Drosophila melanogaster: one gene and its partners. The protein of the gene in region 1 interacts with the protein of each later gene in a pairwise test. Each region holds a gene or a part of one and is shown in the gene's direction. Other genes may lie near its edges. The genes, in order: CG15710, Rcd-1r, Ets65A and CG14711.

Region 1 (4,132 bases):
TTTTAAAATAATTTAAAGATAAAGATTTCCAGCTTCATTGATATAGAAATGTCAAAAAAGTTCTATAGCACACGACAGTCATACATTTATTTAACCAATTAAAGCGATTCGAAATGGCATGGTGTTTAAGTGCTATTGCCATGTCGCGCACTGTCAATACAATGTCAATATGCATTGTTCGCTAATGTATCGCCAACAAAGTTTTACGCTTTTTGTCGCCAGATTTTCCCTTTGGCTTAATTCCGTTTGAACGACGAACGTTGCGTTGGACAGGATTTTGTCCTGCAAATAAAACGCGCCCTTGACAATGGCCGTCAATATGCCGATATCGGTGGACAGAAAGACGTTAATTACCAACATTACCGCGCGCCCAATTATCAACCGCACAAATCAGCGGTGATGTAGGTACGGGTAACCTGATGCACCGTGTGCGGGGCAATGGAAAACTCATTACATGCCACAGGAGCCATCATCCGTGATTCGAAAGATAGCACATAGGTGGAGCGATGGAGCACAGGGGCAGGTGGCCAGGCGCCACGCCCACAAGGAGCGACCGCAACATGCTGTAATGCGTGGCTCTATCAGCATTTGCATGTGCAGCTGGAGCTGGAGCTAAATGCGCCCGATACTTAAAGCCAACTAAAGGCCATATGTTAGCCTACACTGCCAAAGGACAAACTTAATGTCAACACGCTAATCTGTCAGTCGGCAGGAGTTGCAGCGCAGGATGCGAGATGCAGGGCGCGGAATGGGGGATACTGGCATGGCGGGGAGTTGGGAGTGCGACTGCAAAGGATCTGCCACAATGTCAGGCCACTTAAGGAGCGCTGAATCGCAGCGCCTCGCTGCACAGGAACTCAAGGATATTGGAAGTGGGCGGAAAATGGGCGGGGAACACTCCCAGAAAATGCAGCGATTCTTAGACAAACTTCAATCCTTGGAACTTGATTAGCTATTATTACTTAAGGCAAACGATTAAAAAAGCTTCTGCGTAAAGGATTAGTAGAAAGATATAAAAGAATCCCATATTCTGTTAATCTGAAATCAACAGATTCTGAAATGAAAAATATTCATATTTCAGATAGCTTACTTCAAAATAACTAAAAAGAATAGCCTAAATGGTTTAAAAAGCATATAATACATTCAAGAATAGTGTATGCTTTTTAAATAATTCACAATCTTTTGAGGAAATACCAACAACCCAACTTCGCGCTGCTTAAAATTAATGATAAGTATGTTTAATATTTATAGAAAATTATTTGCTAGTGTATCGCCGCCTGGATGGCGCAACAATAATGCTGGACCCTTTGAAATGACAAAAATTGGTTGCTCTCCGTGCGGCTTGACGCCTGACTTGGCAGGAGACACTCGAGGGCACCACAAATGCCAAGCCGTCACCCACCCAGGCACCCAACTAAACACCCACTGCTCCTACAAGCAACGTCCTCCCCCCGCGAAGGACGCGTCTTATCAACTATGCAGGGCTTTGTCTCTAAGCGATTGCAGGCGCCACCCCCCCTTTCCCTTCCAACCTGCCCCTGCCCCCTTTTGCTCCACGCAGTCAGCGTCTTTTGTTGCGCTTAATGAATTTTACGTAAATTTTACGAGCGCTGATTTCTGGCAGCAGCAGCACCACCCCAGCTATTAATCCACACTTTGGCGAGAGCACCACCCCCAGTGGATGGGTAAATTAGTGGGTGGTTGGGTGGTTAGTGGGTGGATGAGACTGGTGCTCTCCTGGTTGTGCGTGTGTAATGACAAGTTCAACAACAACTCGACATTGTCGACTGGTGACGAGGACGACGTGCTCCGACATTTGTTTGCCCAAGTTATGCAAATATTTTTCCAGTCAAGAAGTTTTTGTTTAATTGCATATTTTGACTCGCATTACGCGTGTCATAAAGCAGGGATCCGGAGCTTACCACAATGCCAGAAGTTGGGCGGGGATTAGAGGCACTCGAAAGACATGTTCCTGCATTTTACAGTTCAAAGACCAAACTAAACAATCAGTTTTACGAGTATAGATCTTATTCTGCCCAGGCTTGCCATTGAACTATAGCTATCTTCCTTAGAAATTAATTTAAATTAAATTTATATTTAAGTCTCTAAGATGATATTTTAAAAATAATTCCTAACACAGACGAAATCATGGAGAAGCCTTTAATATGGTTCATAAAACATAATTTATTTGCTGCGTTCGAAACTGTGAAGCTGACCTACTTCATTTAAAAACGAAATTAAACCGAATATATATAGTATGTATACTTCTGCTTTAGACAGTAAAAATGCATGAAGATTGTTTGCTTAATTGGTTAAACTAAATGATGGCTAAATATATTACCACCTCATTTATGGTAATCCGAATAAAACGTTTAATTTTTTTTTGGAGGAAAGCGTTGGATTCGAATTTCATTGCCTGGACAAATTTAAAAAGTTTACATTTTTGAGGCATACCTATCGCGTATACGCTTTCTTTCTTTTCCAGCCCTGACAGTTTCCGAGTATCGAGTATCGAGTATTACTTTCTATCTTTCAATGACAATGACCGGCGACTTTCTCACTTTCTTCGTACGCTTCTTACTGGCGAAACACAAGAGCCCACAAAGGATTATGACAAGTGCTGGCAACTGGATTTCCGAGGAGCTGGAACCAGCTACTCTACTGTCGATTCAGGAGGATAATGGTATTGTTACCAAGGTGTACGTGGCGCCCTGTTTGCAGCCGATAAAAGAGGAGAAAGTTTTCCTGGAGGACAACACGCAACGCTTCCACTGTCCGCTTTGCTCTAATGTGATTCGCACGGCCGGTGCCTACAAGGTCCATCTGATGGCCTGCCAAAGACGCTTGGCACGCATGATGAAGGATGTGCCGGACGTGTCCCAGCATCAGTGCAACATTTGCAAGAAAATCTTCTCCTCGGTGGATGCCCTGATCGGCCACAGGCTCCTGCATGGAAGCCCATCAATGAATCGCACCTGTGCATCCTGCCATGTCAAGTTCGGGACGGATCTGGAGTATCGCACCCATTTGGAGAGCCATCTGATACCGTGCGAGTCCACGGATGAATCCTACGAAGGGGCGTACACCATCACCAAGACCTTCAATTGCGTCTTTTGTCGCACGGAGTTCAAGGCCTGCTTTAAGCCTGGCCAAGTGACCCGTCGATACGCGTGCGACGCATGTATCGTAAGGCTGAAGGCCCAGGAGGAGGAGAAAAAGATCTTAGGGAAGAGAAGGCCCGAATTAATCTGTGATCGTTGTGGGAAAAAGTACAAATATGAGGGTTTCCTTCACCGTCATCTGAAAACTTGCCAGATGCCGGATAAATGCAAAAGAAAGCGTGAGATTGAAATCACCGAGGTCAGCGAGGTAACATTTACAGAAGTTGTGCAAAGTTTTAATAATTGATTATACAAATTCGCACATTTTAATTTTAAATTAAATAAATATATTTTTTAATTGTAATATTTTTTATAATTTTCAAATTATGGCGCCCATCCCACCGATATCTATTTCGATCTGCTATCGATGTGGTCACACTTATCGATAAATCCACCGTGGCGTGGTATTTTTGATTTAAAGCGTTAGTCGATTTCCCGCCCAGCTGCACGTGTATATTTTTTTGCGGTCCAAAGAAAAGTTCGTAAATAAACGAATTTGCGTGCATTTCCAGCGAACACGATGAGTTCAGACGAGTCCAGCGACGGTTTGGAGGAGCTGCAGAGTCTGAAGGCCCTCTACGGCCAGCAGGAGCAAGAGAAACCGGCAAAGATCAAAAGGGAACGTTATATTCCAAAGGCCTCGCAGGCCAAGGAGCTCAACTATGTGGAGGTGCCCATGGAAAAGGTGCTCTTCGGCGACAGGCAGCGACTGCTCACCAATCTAGCCAAGTCCGTGGGACAAAAGTTGCCGAACGATGACGAAGACGAGCAGGAGGAAAATCCCGGCCAGGCAAAGCCAGGCGACAAGCGGAAAGCCGCCTGGTCGGATTCCGATGACGAGGACCTGCAGGTGGGCGATGTCAAGAAGGCCACAAAGCACACGGGTCCACTGAACCACCTGCGCAAGGATAAATCGTACAAGGAGTATCTTACGGCGCGATTCCAGCGCACGCTTAACCAACCCAAGTGGG
Region 2 (4,215 bases), on another chromosome or scaffold:
ATGAGTTTGTCTTTGCGGTGTGAGACAAGTTTCGGGCCTCTTTTGGCCTCTCGAATGCAACATTTTCGGTCGTCGCGAAGAATGGAAATTTGTTTGGTAAATTAAAAGTACTTAAAGTGCAAGTCAAGATCCCAGCTTCCCCCCAACTAATACCACGTCCTTTGCTCCCCCGTCTCATCTGTGGCATTATGTATTCTTTTTTAAAACATGCAAAATCACGTCTATGCATCTTAATAACTTTTCGTGCTCGTGCAAACAATGCGAACGTGAAAGTTGAATAGGTTTGGCTTAGTTATCAGAGGGTTCCCGTCTTCGTTTTCGCAGGAGGAAATTTTCTGGGGTCTCGGGCAGGTTGCTCCATGGTCTCTCAATGCATAAATCAAATGTACATATTGTAGTTGAAGCTAAACTTAATTTAGTTTCCGGGAGTTCCCAACAAGTTTCGGATATCGAGGGTGGATTTGGAGCACAGATAAGGGGAAAGTAAGAATATTCCTGGTGGTGCGGATGTTTGATTTTTGAATCTGGGTAGGTCTCAAATGTAAGCAGTAGTTTGTATTCAAGTATTTAAGACTGTTACAGTTATTGGTTAAGGCAAGACAGATAAGAATTGTATCATAAGTGTTGACTTTCCATTGTTAACAACTATAATTTCTTAGTGACACTCGTTTTGATTCGCATATCTCGAGGGAACAATAACTTCTTAAGCTTGCCTATAGTAAAACTATAGTATTGTATAGCTAGTCCTGAGCCAGCTGCTATAGCCGTGACCATAGTCATAACTTTGTTTAGCAAACACATCCATTCCCATTCCGAGGCACACATGAAACAATTGAATCGAAAAGAAACCAATCAGTCAACAGGGGTATTCCCCACGTAACCCACCGAGGGCTGCAAAAAACCAGTCAAAAAAAAAAAAAGTAACAATACAAAAATTAATTGATGACGTGCACACACGCATACATACATGAACACTCACACAGCCACACAGATGACGCACCAACACTAATTGGCAGCAGGAACAACGTGGACCACATATGCATGTATGCGAGGATATAGCCTGGAAGTCGATTTGATAACCGTGCACGATATGATGGGCGGCATGGATCCCTTCCGCTTTGGTTATGAAACATCCGAAAAAGGGGACGCTGTAACGGGATTTTGGAGGCGGCTCGGTGAAAGGGTGAAAGGGGCGTGAACACGGCCAAATCGATGCAGACATAGACGAGCAACAATCAATCAATTAAATGCCTGAATGCAGCTCCAAACAAACCGAGCCACGATAACCATAACATGACCCACCGGATAATGTTCGGCATGCAAAAGTGAGATTGACTTTTAGGCAGACGGCAACACTATTAAAGATTTATTCTTGTTTCTCGGCTCGTTCGAATCTCCGATTTTCTCTGGGATAGTTGGCCAATTTATGTGACGGACTGAAATTTTTAAAGCTCTCTGCAACAAACAAAATTGAAATGTTGCACGATGTGGCAAAGAATACATTTTCTGTTAACCATTTCTGTATTGGCAAGTAATTCCAGAAATGGACAACTATTCCAAGCATCCATCTGTTTAATGGGTTAAATGCGAGATAAAATATTTGAAAATTTTAAAGGCAAATATTTGTGTGTGCTAGAATGATTTTTGATTTATAGTATTTGTCAATACGAATTCATTAATTCTAAAACTGGTGTCCAAAAGTACTTAATGGTCATTAAGCCATAAATCGGACCTCCATCAGATGCGCAATTAGTCTGGCCATTTCAGAGAGCTAAGCTATGCTATGACATACTTAATAGAATCATAAATTTTAATCATCTACCGATTAATACTTGTAAAATATAGAGAAAACGTGAATTTCCAGACGAATTCCAAGCTGCCAATCAAATCAATGGTGATAAGAAACAAAATTCTGGGAGACATTCGAACAAGAAATTATTTATTAATTTATGGCATTCGTGCGTTCCTCGGCTCTGGCCACATTGTTCGGCCACGTGCTTTCGGTCCTTTCTCGCTTGAAGCTTATATCGATAACCACAATAGACGCCAACTCGAAACCACGTTTCTCAATCGTCCGTCGAAATTCCGGAGCCAGATCTTTCCAAGCTACTAGATCTTTGCAAGCTAACGCGAAAAAAAACCAGCTTTGCGATGAGTGCGGAACCAAGTCCGGTAATGAGTCCCCAGCAGCAGGCCGAGCGGGAGAAGGTGTACCAGTTGATCATCGAGCTGGCCTATCCTGCCACGCGGGAGACCGCTCTGCTGGAGCTGAGCAAGAACACCTATGCGGACCTGGCCCCCATGCTGTGGAAAAGCGTCGGTACCACCTGCACCCTGCTGCAGGAGATCGTCAACATATACCCCATAATAACGACGCCCGTTTTGAAGGCCAACCAGTCGAACCGCGTGTGCTACGCCCTGACTTTGCTACAGTGCGTCGCCTCGCATCCGGAGACTCGCCCGGCCTTCCTGCGGGACCAGATACCGATGTACTTGTACCCCTTCTTGTCGACCACGTTCAAGAGCAGGCCCTTCGAGCAGCTGCGCCTGACCACGCTGGGCGTGATTAATGCTCTGGCCGAGACCGGTGATACGGAGGTCCTCATCTTCCTGATATGGAGCGAGGTCGTGCCTCACTGTCTGACCAATATGGTCAGGGGATCGAAGCTGACCAAGATCGCGGCCACTTCAATCCTTGAGAAGATACTGCTCGATGAGATGGGTCTGACGTACATTTGCGAGAACCACGATCGCTTCTCGCAGGTGGCCATCACCCTGGGCAAAATGGTCATCCATATGTTGAAGTTTCCATGCCTCCGGGTGCTGAAGCATGTGGTGCGCTGCTATCTACTACTTACGGAAAATGCGCGCGCTCGCAGTGCACTTAGAGTGTGTCTGCCGGATCTGCTGCGTGACGGCACCTTCACGTCGCTCGTGCAACATGACACGTGCACCAAGCAGTGGCTGCAGATGCTGCTCAAGAACCTGCAGACAAACGCCGTCAACCCAATGGGCTCCTCCTAGAGAAGCGCCCAACAACTTTCGTCACTCCACCGTCCATTCAAGCGCCATCGATTAGTGATACCCACTCCTAGTTAACTGCTCGACCGAATAAACATGGCCTACATAATCTACAAATGAAATTATGATATTACTAAAATTGACGGTACAATAAAAAATATCAAATATAAAATATCATAGCTCCTAGCTCATATTTATTAATAGTCACACTAGGCATACATCTTGACCAGCAAGAGACCCAGAACGCTAGACGCGATGGCAATAGTGCTGCTGCTCATCTTTCCGGCCGGATTCTTGTTGCACTTGTCGCCCGAACAGGTGAGACACCAGGTCTTATTGTAGTGAGCATAGGCCGGCTTAAGTGCTAAGCTGCAGGCTCCAACATTTGGATGCACACAGCCATGGAGCTGATGGATCACATCGTTATCTGGCAAGTGGAAAGTAGTTAATAAATCTTTATAGTCCGCTTCTGGGGTCCCCACGCTACTCACTCCAGTTGTACTTCAGAGCCAGGCAATCGAATCGCGTGCTGGTTAGGTTGCCAACATTCTGATGATAGACACCCAGGTAGTAACTAGTCTCATTCGCAGCCGCATTCGTGCAGGTGACTTTCTTGGGACTCTTGCAGTCCTTTGGCGTTACGCAGGTGTAACACTTCAGGGAATCAGCTATAATCCATGTTAAAAACAATCAGTTGATCTCGAATTTCACATTTTACGCAATTGACTCACCAATTTGCACACACACAAAGGCCACAAGTATGCTGACTATTAAAGCTTTCATATACATTTTGGTTTAAATATTTTTACTTCACACTTAACTGTAGTACAACTTTGCAAGATGTCGATTCGCTTTAAACTAAACTCTTTTTAAATGCCAAGAACTCTTTTATACGGCGATTCTCTTCAGATTTTGCACAATACTCAATTCTTTGAGATAAGCTTGTATGTATGTCGTTTGTTAAGTTAATCTTATCATTTTACGTTTACAGGCTCATAAACTTATCAAAAAGTTTCAATGGAGAAGCAGTAAGGGTTTCCCCTTTCGAAACTCATTCATTTTTGGAAATATTCCTGTATTCCTACTCTCATTTAAACATATTAAATCAAATAAGAATTTCACTGCTTTACCGAAATAACAAACATTTCATAATCCTCCAGCAATATATATAAATACATATATATATTTAAGCGT
Region 3 (5,501 bases), on another chromosome or scaffold:
ATCAGTACGTTAAGGCAGGAGCCACCTTCTACGTGTCCTTTAGTGTAAGTTGATAGAATTTGGGATCAATAGCATGTTTCCGATCCAATGGATGGGTTTCCCCTTGAGCAGTCTGTGATATTCTAAAATAAATCAAATCGAATCCATTAATACAGTAATATAATCTATCTAATACAATGAAATTATTCATATAAATTTTTTTTAGGTGGTGCGCGGAGGCGATGGAATGGCTGGTTTCGCCGTCCGCAATCCTGCTGGTGAAGTGGTGAAGCCCTACCAGTGGCAGGCTACTGCGGACTACACGGATCAGGTATCGCCCGGTGGCTACTACTCCGTCTGCATTGACAACCAGTTCTCCCGATTCGCTGGCAAGCTGGTCAACATCTATATCACGGTGGTGAAGTACGATGCATGGGACAAGTACGCCAAGGAGATCGAGCAGCTGCAGCTGAACATGCAAAACTTCACTGTAAGCCAAACTGGTTTTCAGACACACCCAAACATCCATTTACAAATATTCACATTGATCTATTTCTTTAGGCCACCGTTGGCACTGTGGAGCGCAACATCAACGATATGATGGGCTATCAAGCCCACAGTCGTCATCGCGAATCGCGTGATTATGCGTTGCTCCTGGACAACAATGCCTATATTCAAACCTTCTCGATTAGCCAAATTGTGGTCATATTGATCACGTGCTCTGTACAGGCGAGTATAGACATGTTTTTTGCTTTTCCTAAATTAATAACCTAATATTTGCAGGTATTCTTTGTGCGCAAACTATTTGAAGTAAAATCGAGCTCCAAAAGTCGCATCTAAGGCGCAAAGATACTTTTCAAAGACTTCGCAACATGTTTCTAAAATTCCATCCGCATTTCCAAGACATTCATTCTATTCTACCTGCTGAATGAGTTTTTGTAACTTATTTTATCACTGGCTAATTGATCAAGCGCAACTGAGCAGACTTTTTTATAATTGGGACTACTTATGTCATACGAGTTATAGACAGCAAAACTTATTGTGATAAGTGTACATTTGTGTGTTTTGTTTAATTAAAAGATTGAAGATTTTTGTATTTGCTTTGTTTTATTTGGGAAAGAACCTTAAGGATTTATTCGAAGCCATTTGGGTTTGTTAATTTACTAAAAGCTCTACAAGCTTTAAAGTTAAGCTGCTTTGGTAAGCTCACTTAACCGTTAAATTTCATTATCCTGGAAAGGATTTTAAACTTAAAAATATATAATTCAGGTTGTTGTTTTAAGAAACCTGTTTTTCTTTTTATATGGGAGTAAGTTATTTTCAAATTACGACATTGTTGCAAAGACATCTTCTCGTTGCCTAAAACCAATCTTAAATATTAAATACATGCTGTACATGAGCTCATTAGTTTAAATTGAGAGCTGAAGACATTTCGAAGACATTCCACAACTTGGGCTGGCAAATTAATCACCCCGAATGCCGCTTATCGCAAATTATCCTGCCCCATCCATCGCAGGACCTTAAATCATGTCACCAGGCTCACCGCTTATCTAGACGTCATTTAGCACATGTGTGTGTGCTCTGCAGCAGCTGGCATGTTAATTATATCCTTTTTGGCAGGCAGCAGGAGCATCTGGGTATCTTGGCGGGTCTTTTGTGGCCACTGCTGCTCGAAATTAAAATGTTATTATGCGAGGCTTATCTGCGGGCCTTAAAGCCACCGCAAAACTAAGGTCCTAATGGCCTCGCACACCAGCACACGCTCTTTAACTGTTTTAAACGCCATTGTTAAAATATTGCTCATACGCACTTCCGCCCAAAATGGGGTCTTCTCTCTTCGGCAGCACTAATGATGCCCCAAGAACGCGGAGCAAAGGACCCGGCGAAAGGCAGGAGCATCCACAGCCATAGCCACATCCACATCCACATCCCCGATGGCACAGAGTTGGCTCCGCCCACCAGCAGCCGATGACAGCGGCAGATAACAGAGCAGCGGCAAAGTGGGCGGTGGATGGGGTTGTGGTGCGGAGAGCGCGCCTGCGCATTAGCCGCCGCAGAAACGCAGGACGATGGGGTGACACATCCTCGGTGATAGCGCCCAGTTCCCCTGCCACACAGAGCCACCGCTTGTGGGAGGAGTGTGTCGCCATCTTTGAGCGTGGACTGGTGACTGGACGGGATGATCTGGCCGCCACATTAACTTGGAGTGCGCGCTACCAAGTGCAACACGTCGCGGACGACATAATAGCGGTACTTTGCGGTTTAGATTCGTCGGTCACACGTCGTCAATATTCCCGGGACAAGGACCAAACTAGCGAACCTTTCTTGGTCAGCACAAGCGGCAAACGAAGGCACAAAAACCACAAAAAACACAAAGCACACACACGGCACACACTTGTACACTTACACACGGCAAGCAGTGCGGAAAACTTGGACACATACGCCCAGCTTGTTGCTGGCTGTGGGCGTGGCAGCGCACGAAAAAGAAACAGACAAGGACACACACATGTGTCCTGCCAGTGTGTCGCGGAAATTTTTGTGCGGAAATTATAGAAATTTCGCTTTTTGATTTCATTTTCGTTCCGCTTTCGTTGCGAACCTCTCACCCCTCGCCACCCACCACCACCCACCTTTTGTGCACCTGCACCTGTGCGAAAAGACATCGAGAAATGCCCAAGGAGCCCGCTGCCGTCGGTGTCCAGTTGGCTTGGTGGTCGTCGCCGTCATCGTCCTTGCAGTGACAAATTTCCTTGCATATCCGCTCCAGGACTACGAAACTTTGGCTGCAAACAAAACCGTCATTTGCGTGGCGCGTCGCTGTCGCGTTCACTTGTCGCATATCCGTCGCCATTTTGACAATAATTTCATTTCCGGTTGGCAATTTGTACGCACTTGAGTGAGTGATTAACTGCACCGATTCCCAACGATTGTGAAGTGTTTAAGATTACTAAGTTGTAACTTAAGTTGTCCCGACGGAAGTTTAAGAGACAGTCAAAGAGGAGACTTATTTTTGGATAAACTTTATTGCACATACAGGCACAATCCTGAGGTGAGTTATGTTCGAATTATAGAATGATCAACATGATTCAGAACTCCGACGGGGTCCTAAATAACTAATGTATTTTTAAGTGCTTTGTTGAACCAAAGTTGAAGTAAATTAAAGATAATATCGTAACGGTAGAATTTTATTCAAAAATTGAAAACATACTCCTAGGCTTAAATGGGGAAAATCTCCAGCATAAAATGGGGAAAATATTAAATGCATAAAAATATTTGAAATGTACGAATTCAGAATACCAGACATGTTGAAGTCTATTTTAAATCTAAAAATTTATAACCAATGTCAGTAAAGAATAATTACAATAATAAACTTTAATATTTTGATAGAATTTATTTCGAATTTCTAAGATATTTGTAAACTATGATACTTTCTATTCAAACATTCTGATCTGATAAATTAAATCCACTTACATAGAATTTTGAGCGCTTAGATACAGCACCTGTGAACTTAGATGGTTGCTTTTAATTTCTAACTAACGACAGTTATCCAACCCCTAAAAAGCTCACCCCACCATCATCAGATAATTGTGAAGCATATGTTTCTGCTAATCGAATTAGTAGACTTAAAACGGAAGTATTCATAAACCAGAAAAAAAGCACATCAGCAGCATCATTGGGTAAAAGCTTGACAATTAAACAGCAGCACAGTTTCATCAACCAGTCGGCTGTGCAAACATTCAAAAATCCTAATTTCCTAAAATCGCATAAAAATCTTACAAACCATTAAAGAGCAGCCAAACGTGTGGCCTCTTAATTAAAGGATCTCTCGTCCAACAAGGGGATTACACCATTAACAGCTGTCGAAGAGCATAAACTCGGCAATCACAGCGATACCAAGTGGTATTCAAAGGACTCAGCACGCGCTGCAGAACGGGACGAGCATTCAGCCCATCTGCAGACCGACATCCTGGCATCCCGCTCGTATTTCCGGTGTGCGCGCGTTCGCTCAGCGATTGTGATAACTTGGGGAATACAAGGATACCAGAATACAAAAAAAATAAAATGTCTGCCTGCTAATGTTCGCTGGTGAAATTTGCCTACATGCAAACGCAGCCACTCGGCCTGAGTACAAATAATAAATAATAAATGAGGCGTGTGCAGGCCGTTTATAATGTCTGACAAGGCGCAAAGTTGATGATGTTCTGTAGATGCGACCGTTTCGATAACGAAATCTATTTACTCCTCCCGGCAAACTTAAAGCTGCTGGGGTTTCAGTTACAGTTTTCATTTCGGGTATGTTTGGTGTACTTTAAGCCAGAGACAGGACAAGTCGCACTTTGTATGGCATAAATTTCGTTGGCATAAATCAAAATTCAGCAACTTCCGACGAGGGCAGAGTGCAAAAATTTGCATGCCCCCTGTGTGTGCTAACTGCAGACTGGCCGAAAAGGGCCAGTAAACAATGGTTCGCCTTCCCCAGCTTCGACCAGCTGGACATTAGAGAGCCACGCTCAAATGGCCGCCACCCACGCACAGTTCAACGCTCATACGCAACGTTGGCCCAGTGCAAAAAGCGGGACTGTACACACAATAAATAACGAGCCAGATAATTATGCACGTCGTGCTTATATCTAAGGGAACACTAGCTCCACAGCTCCAAAGTAGCCACTATTAATTATGCCAGAACATCGGGGGGGTTTTCGGGTAGCTAGCTTAACGTGTTGGGGCCATGGCAATTAGAGCGATTGTTTGGCCCGAGAGGCATTCTAAAATTGCAGTATTTAATTGTGGACCACGCGCTATGATTTATTAATATCTCGCTCTGCAATTTGCCATGAGGTGAGTGATGGAGTTTACTTGGACTTTAAAGCAATTAAATCTTCTGGTTTGACTACCAATAGAGTACAAGAGTGTATGAATAAATATCTTAAGTTTTAGTAACTTATAAGTACTAAGTATTCATTTATATTCATTTTCGTTTGTAATTTTCGCAGTTTTATAAGTACTATAAAACCAATTTGTTCTATCTATTACTTTCTCCGGCAGAGTCAAGTGGAATCCCTTGTTTAGCCAACAGCCACCCATCGAGGCTCCCCAGGCGTGCGCCATGTACGAGAACTCCTGTTCGTATCAGACGGCGCTGGACCTGAAGAGGGTATCGCCACCGACTCTCGCCCAGGTGAAAACGGAGGAGTGCCTTGCACTCGGACAGTGCTCGCCAGAATGGACCTCGTACCGCTTCCATCAGTCCACCTTCGAGCAGCTGAAGCAGAGTGTGGAGAAGGCCAAGGCGGCGCTGCAGGATCGCAGCAGTTTTTTCGGGGCCAGCAGTGCCTTTAGGTGAGTAACATCTTAAGATGTAACTATTTTGCACTAAATAAAATTTATAAACCATTTAACTTGGAAATCTTACTTTAAAAGAATTTTAATCTTGAATTCAGAATTATAGTTTGAGGTCTTATTAATTGGTATTATGGTATATATATCTTAAATGTATGTTTTCCAACCACAGCGACATCTAC
Region 4 (4,596 bases), on another chromosome or scaffold:
CATCCTGTGCGGAAACGTCTTTTACAAGAAATCTGTTTTCACGGCCCACATGATGACCCATTCAGAGTACAAGCCCCACCAATGCGAGTAAGTGATATTAAGGTTTAGGAAGGAACAAATTTATCCTACAAAAATGTTATTGCTTTCAGAATATGCAATAAATCTTTTCGACAAATGGGCGAATTGCGAGCACACATCCGTCGTCATACGGGCGACCGTCCATACAAGTGTATGTACTGCGACCGCCACTTCTACGATCGCAGCGAACGGGTCCGCCATGAACGGGTCCACACCAACACGCGTCCTTATGCCTGCCAGGAGTGCGGGAAAACTTTTACGCACACAGCCATCCTCAAAAATCACATCCTTTCGCACTCCGCCCAAAAGAATTACAAGTAAGGGAGAGTAATCCTTTCTAGTGATTTGCACTTTTTATTAATAATTTGAACTTTTCAGCTGTGGTATCTGTTGCAAGTCATTCACTCTGCTGCACCAGCTGAAAGCTCACCTGCAAACGCTAACCCACCGCAACAAAATGGAGCAAACCATTCCCAGCTCTCCGGAAATGTTAGAGAGCTAATATAGTAAATTAATTGAGGAACTAGGGTTATCTATTATAAGTAGTATAAAGCCACTTTTCCAGAATAGACCAGCTATTTTTATTAACTATTCTACCACGTCGCTGTACTCCTTAGCTATCAGACGGTGCGCAAGAGACTTCTCGTGCGCTGTAAGTTGGTGCTTAAGCCGAAATTCTTTTTTACACATAAGACACTTGTGAGACTTTTCAGACGAATGCAGGTAGTAGTGAGCGTTACGAGAGGAGGACAGAGAGAATGTTTTTCCACATATGTTGCAAGCATAGGGTCTTTCATTCGTGTGCAAACTGAAATGAAGAAATTCAACATTGGAACTTAAATGCTGTACACAATATATATAGTTTTTGTCCATTCTACCGTTCGTGCTTGCGATGAGTGCTGTTGTCGGCAAAACGGCGCGAACAGTAGCAACATTGGTAAGGTTTCTCGCCCGTGTGCGTCCGCATGTGTGTTTTCAGGTTGCAGGCGGCTCTGAATGTCTTTTGGCAAACCCTGAATCATACATTTTATATATGAAATATTATGTTAAGATATATCACGGATACTTACTCGCACTGGTGGTCCTTTTCCTTGCGGTGCACCTGCGAGTGTGCATTTAGCTGAGATAAGCAGCGGTATGTATTGCTGCAGATCTTGCATCTGTACTTGTCCGGCTCGCAGGCCACTCCTAGATCTATCACGTAGTCGGCACTTGGCTCTAGATTATGGTAATCCTCGCTTGTCTCTTGAATACTGTCCGTAGCAGCGCTGCTTTCTTGCGAATACGTTTCGGAGTAATTTTGATCGGAGATCTCCCTGTCCAAATCCATATCACTGATGGTATAGTCCTCCTGGTGTATGTCTTTCTCGTTTTCCGCATTCACGTTGAGATCGAACACGAAATCGCTTGAAAATTTATTTATGGGTAAGATTTCATCATCTTTGGTCGTTTCCAATGCATTCTCTTGAGTCTTAAAGTTAATAGGATTCTCTTCGATGAGTCTCCCCGAAATGTTCTGCTTCCTGGCGCGTTTTTTCTGTTCAAGCTGGTCCTTATCCTCCAGCGTCTCAAATGCCGATGCGGAGGACAGAGTTTGACGAACGAGGCTTCTCAGGTGCGCGTCGGATTGTTTGCACGCGCTAAGAAATCTGTCCACCTCCTCCAGTTGCATCAAGCAGACTGTGCAAATTTGATCCGGCAGTCCATCATCCGGTTTCACCTAGGAGAGAGGATTTGTAACTGGTAAACTGGAAGCCAAACAGAAATCGAGTACTCACAGATGTGCCGGCATACGAGATCAACAGCTTGTGGGCATTGGACTCGAAGAGCGACTGCAGCGTGGATTGCGTTCCTTTTTTGCGGCAAGTGCGGCACATGCTCCATTTAATGCTGATTTCCATCGTTATTTCCGCAGGAAGTCCCTCTTTCGCGTCAAATGCCGATTCAAATGCCAGAGCAGTGAATTAAAAGTAAAAGGGTTGTCAGGTACGCGGAATTAGTAACAGTTTTCAACTATCATTCCAAATTTTTTTGCATTTAGTTCTAAAACTGTATTTTTATTGCGTGACTCAAGCTTAAATATTTAATAGGGCCCACCTGTTAGTTTAAAAAAAAAAATTAAGATTTAATTATTATCAATTATTCAATCGATATGCCGATAGCAAGTTCGATAGCCATTTATCGTTTTGCGTACATGACAACCCTGGGAAAAGTTCCAAGACGCTTGTTTATTTCAGAATTGCAAGCATACGTACGTCCAGGACGTGCAAGATAATGCCCGAGTACATGTTGTGCCGAATCTGCTTGACAGAGGACATCAACTCGGAGGCGATGGCGCCCCTGTTCGATGACAACGACGCCCAGTGCCGGGAGCTGGTGCGCAAGATTGAAGAAGTGGGCAGCATAAAGGTACATGTGGATGCAAATGTAAAATCCTGCGACTTAACCCACTCTGTGCTTTCAGCTGGTGCCGCTGCAGAACATCCCCAGTATGTTGTGCTACAGCTGCGTGGAGCGACTGACCAGTGCCCACAAGTTCCGGGAGCTTTGCCAGGAGAGCGAGCGCACATTTGCCACCAATGTAGTCAAGGTACGTATAGAGTTGATGGGCCACATATAAACATCCCACTTGACCCGGTACCATGTCAGGCCGAGATGAAGTCGGAGCCAACGGACGAGGTGCCGCACGTAGTGGCTGACAACATTGAGTACATCTACGAATCGGCCAACGACTTCATCGACGGTGTCGAGGATGACATCGGAATGGAGAACATCATGGAGGAGCCCCTGGAGGATGGTGTCGGGGAAACGTCGCAGGCCTACGAGACTAGCACTGTAGTGGACGACCTGGACGAGGATGACTTGCTGGTGCCGAATAGCACCGATAGCGACTACCAGCCCATCGAGCGCTGCCGCAAAGCTAAGGTGCGTAAAACGCGGATGACTAAACGTGGACGTGGCCGACCTCGCGGTGCTAGCTCCGGACACCCACGCAGTTTTAGCGAGGAGCGTCCGCCTGTTCAAGCTAGCTTCAAATCATCTCCCGAAGTATCCTCCACGAACATTATGTGCGAAATCTGCGGCAATATCTACTCCAAGCGAGCCGCTCTCAACATTCATATGCGTCGTCATATGGCCGAGAAACCATTTAAATGCGAGTGAGTATCTGAAATTATCATCTGAACCATTTTATATTATGTAAATCTTATTCCGCTTACAGAATATGCAGCAAATCCTTCGCGGGTCCATCCGAGCTAAATCGCCATATCCGCGTTCACACGGGCGAGAAACCATTCTTGTGTAAATATTGCAACCGCTCGTTTGCGGATCGCAGCTCCAATATTCGTCATGAAAGGTGAAGATGCAATTCCTCATAGTAATCTTCATATAAACTATACTTGTTCCTTTTGCAGAACACACACAAACGAGCGACCTTTCACTTGCTCCACATGCGGCAAGGCATTCTCCTACTCTAACGTGCTAAAAAACCATATGCTCACCCACACGGGCGAGAAGCCTTTTCTGTAGGTCCATTGACTGCTTTAATCATGTATAACCCTAAATTCCCTTTAATTTTTCAGCTGTCGAGTCTGCAATAAGACCTTTTCCCGCAAGCACCAGTTGGATCAGCATTTGGGCACCATGACCCACCAACAGACTGTAATACACCACAAAAACGAACGGACGGGGCGCTATTAGTCGAAAACAATGCAATACAATTTCTGTTAGATAATTCATTAATGTACATTTAATTATATATAAAAATTGTAAAATAAAAAAGAGTACAAATGGTCAGACCGGATGTGTAAAATAATCGGATTTGATTTATTACTATTTGGTTAAAGAACTTGTTCAAAAACACAAATATTTTTTGTAATGTTTTTTATTACGTCCATATATTCGAGAAAAAAATTGGAACACGATTACAATCTTTGATTTTGTGCGTTTATTTGGTAGTTTTAACATCATTTTGGCCATTAAATGAGTGTGCGTTTTTTATTGTTTCTTTTCTTTGTGCTCTGTCGAAGACTTTGTTACCGTTTGTGGAAGCTACAACATGGAATAATAATCGAATGGCACAGGATTAATTAAATCTTCTTTTTTTGGACAAGTAAATATGTTTTGTTTTTTTAGGTTTATAACTTGTAACGTTTTACATCAAAATCTAAAAACGTTTGGAAGTCGGGAGGGATGCGGCTCTTCTTCTATTCCTTAGGGAAACAAAAAGTAAAACCAAATATGCTAGATATTCGCATAAAATGGATTTATGCGAATACCTGTACTTAAATGTACGTCTACCTTGTTAAAGAAAAGGACGCGGAATTTTAGAATTCTTACCGATAGCTAATTAGTGTAATGGCTAGATAGGCAGCTTCATTGTTCAATGGCTAGCTCCGTGAGTTTCTCTTCTTTGCGTTTATGAATATTGCTGGACAGGTGGGTCATCAAATGGGAGATTCGTTTGAAGTGCTTCTGACATACGTAGCAGCTGTAAAATCAAAGTGTGTTGAAACGTGT

Evidence for each region.
Region 2: the proteins of CG15710 (region 1) and Rcd-1r interact in a two-hybrid assay, tested with the Drosophila melanogaster proteins (one large-scale study listed by BioGRID).
Region 3: the proteins of CG15710 (region 1) and Ets65A interact in a two-hybrid assay, tested with the Drosophila melanogaster proteins (one large-scale study listed by BioGRID).
Region 4: the proteins of CG15710 (region 1) and CG14711 interact in a two-hybrid assay, tested with the Drosophila melanogaster proteins (one large-scale study listed by BioGRID).

The regions. Positions count from the first base shown.
Region 1 is NT_033778.4:16,346,945-16,351,076, reverse strand, and holds CG15710 (uncharacterized protein), read left to right. Parts: upstream 1-2,549; 5' UTR 2,550-2,610; coding exon 2,611-3,408; 3' UTR 3,409-3,463; downstream 3,464-4,132. Other genes in the region: wcd (wicked), read left to right, coding at 3,682-4,132.
Region 2 is NT_033779.5:9,011,859-9,016,073, reverse strand, and holds Rcd-1r (Rcd-1 related), read left to right. Parts: upstream 1-2,005; 5' UTR 2,006-2,151; coding exon 2,152-3,024; 3' UTR 3,025-3,189; downstream 3,190-4,215. Other genes in the region: CG13102 (uncharacterized protein), read right to left, coding at 3,231-3,448, 3,513-3,689, 3,753-3,810.
Region 3 is NT_037436.4:6,095,444-6,100,944, forward strand, and holds the start of Ets65A (Ets at 65A), read left to right. Parts: upstream 1-2,173; 5' UTR 2,174-3,028; intron 3,029-5,025; 5' UTR 5,026-5,086; coding exon 5,087-5,319; intron 5,320-5,491; coding exon 5,492-5,501. Other genes in the region: loj (logjam), read left to right, coding at 1-44, 206-469, 541-708, 763-819.
Region 4 is NT_033777.3:11,621,059-11,625,654, forward strand, and holds CG14711 (uncharacterized protein), read left to right. Parts: upstream 1-2,280; 5' UTR 2,281-2,352; coding exon 2,353-2,487; exon of another isoform or gene 2,488-2,542; coding exon 2,543-2,668; exon of another isoform or gene 2,669-2,727; coding exon 2,728-3,236; exon of another isoform or gene 3,237-3,244; intron 3,245-3,296; exon of another isoform or gene 3,297-3,298; coding exon 3,299-3,433; exon of another isoform or gene 3,434-3,491; coding exon 3,492-3,602; exon of another isoform or gene 3,603-3,659; coding exon 3,660-3,777; 3' UTR 3,778-3,890; downstream 3,891-4,596. Other genes in the region: CG14710 (uncharacterized protein), read left to right, coding at 1-87, 150-395, 457-580; Zaf1 (ZAD and architectural function 1), read right to left, coding at 667-886, 957-1,091, 1,149-1,798, 1,857-1,979; CG6813 (uncharacterized protein), read right to left, coding at 4,453-4,567.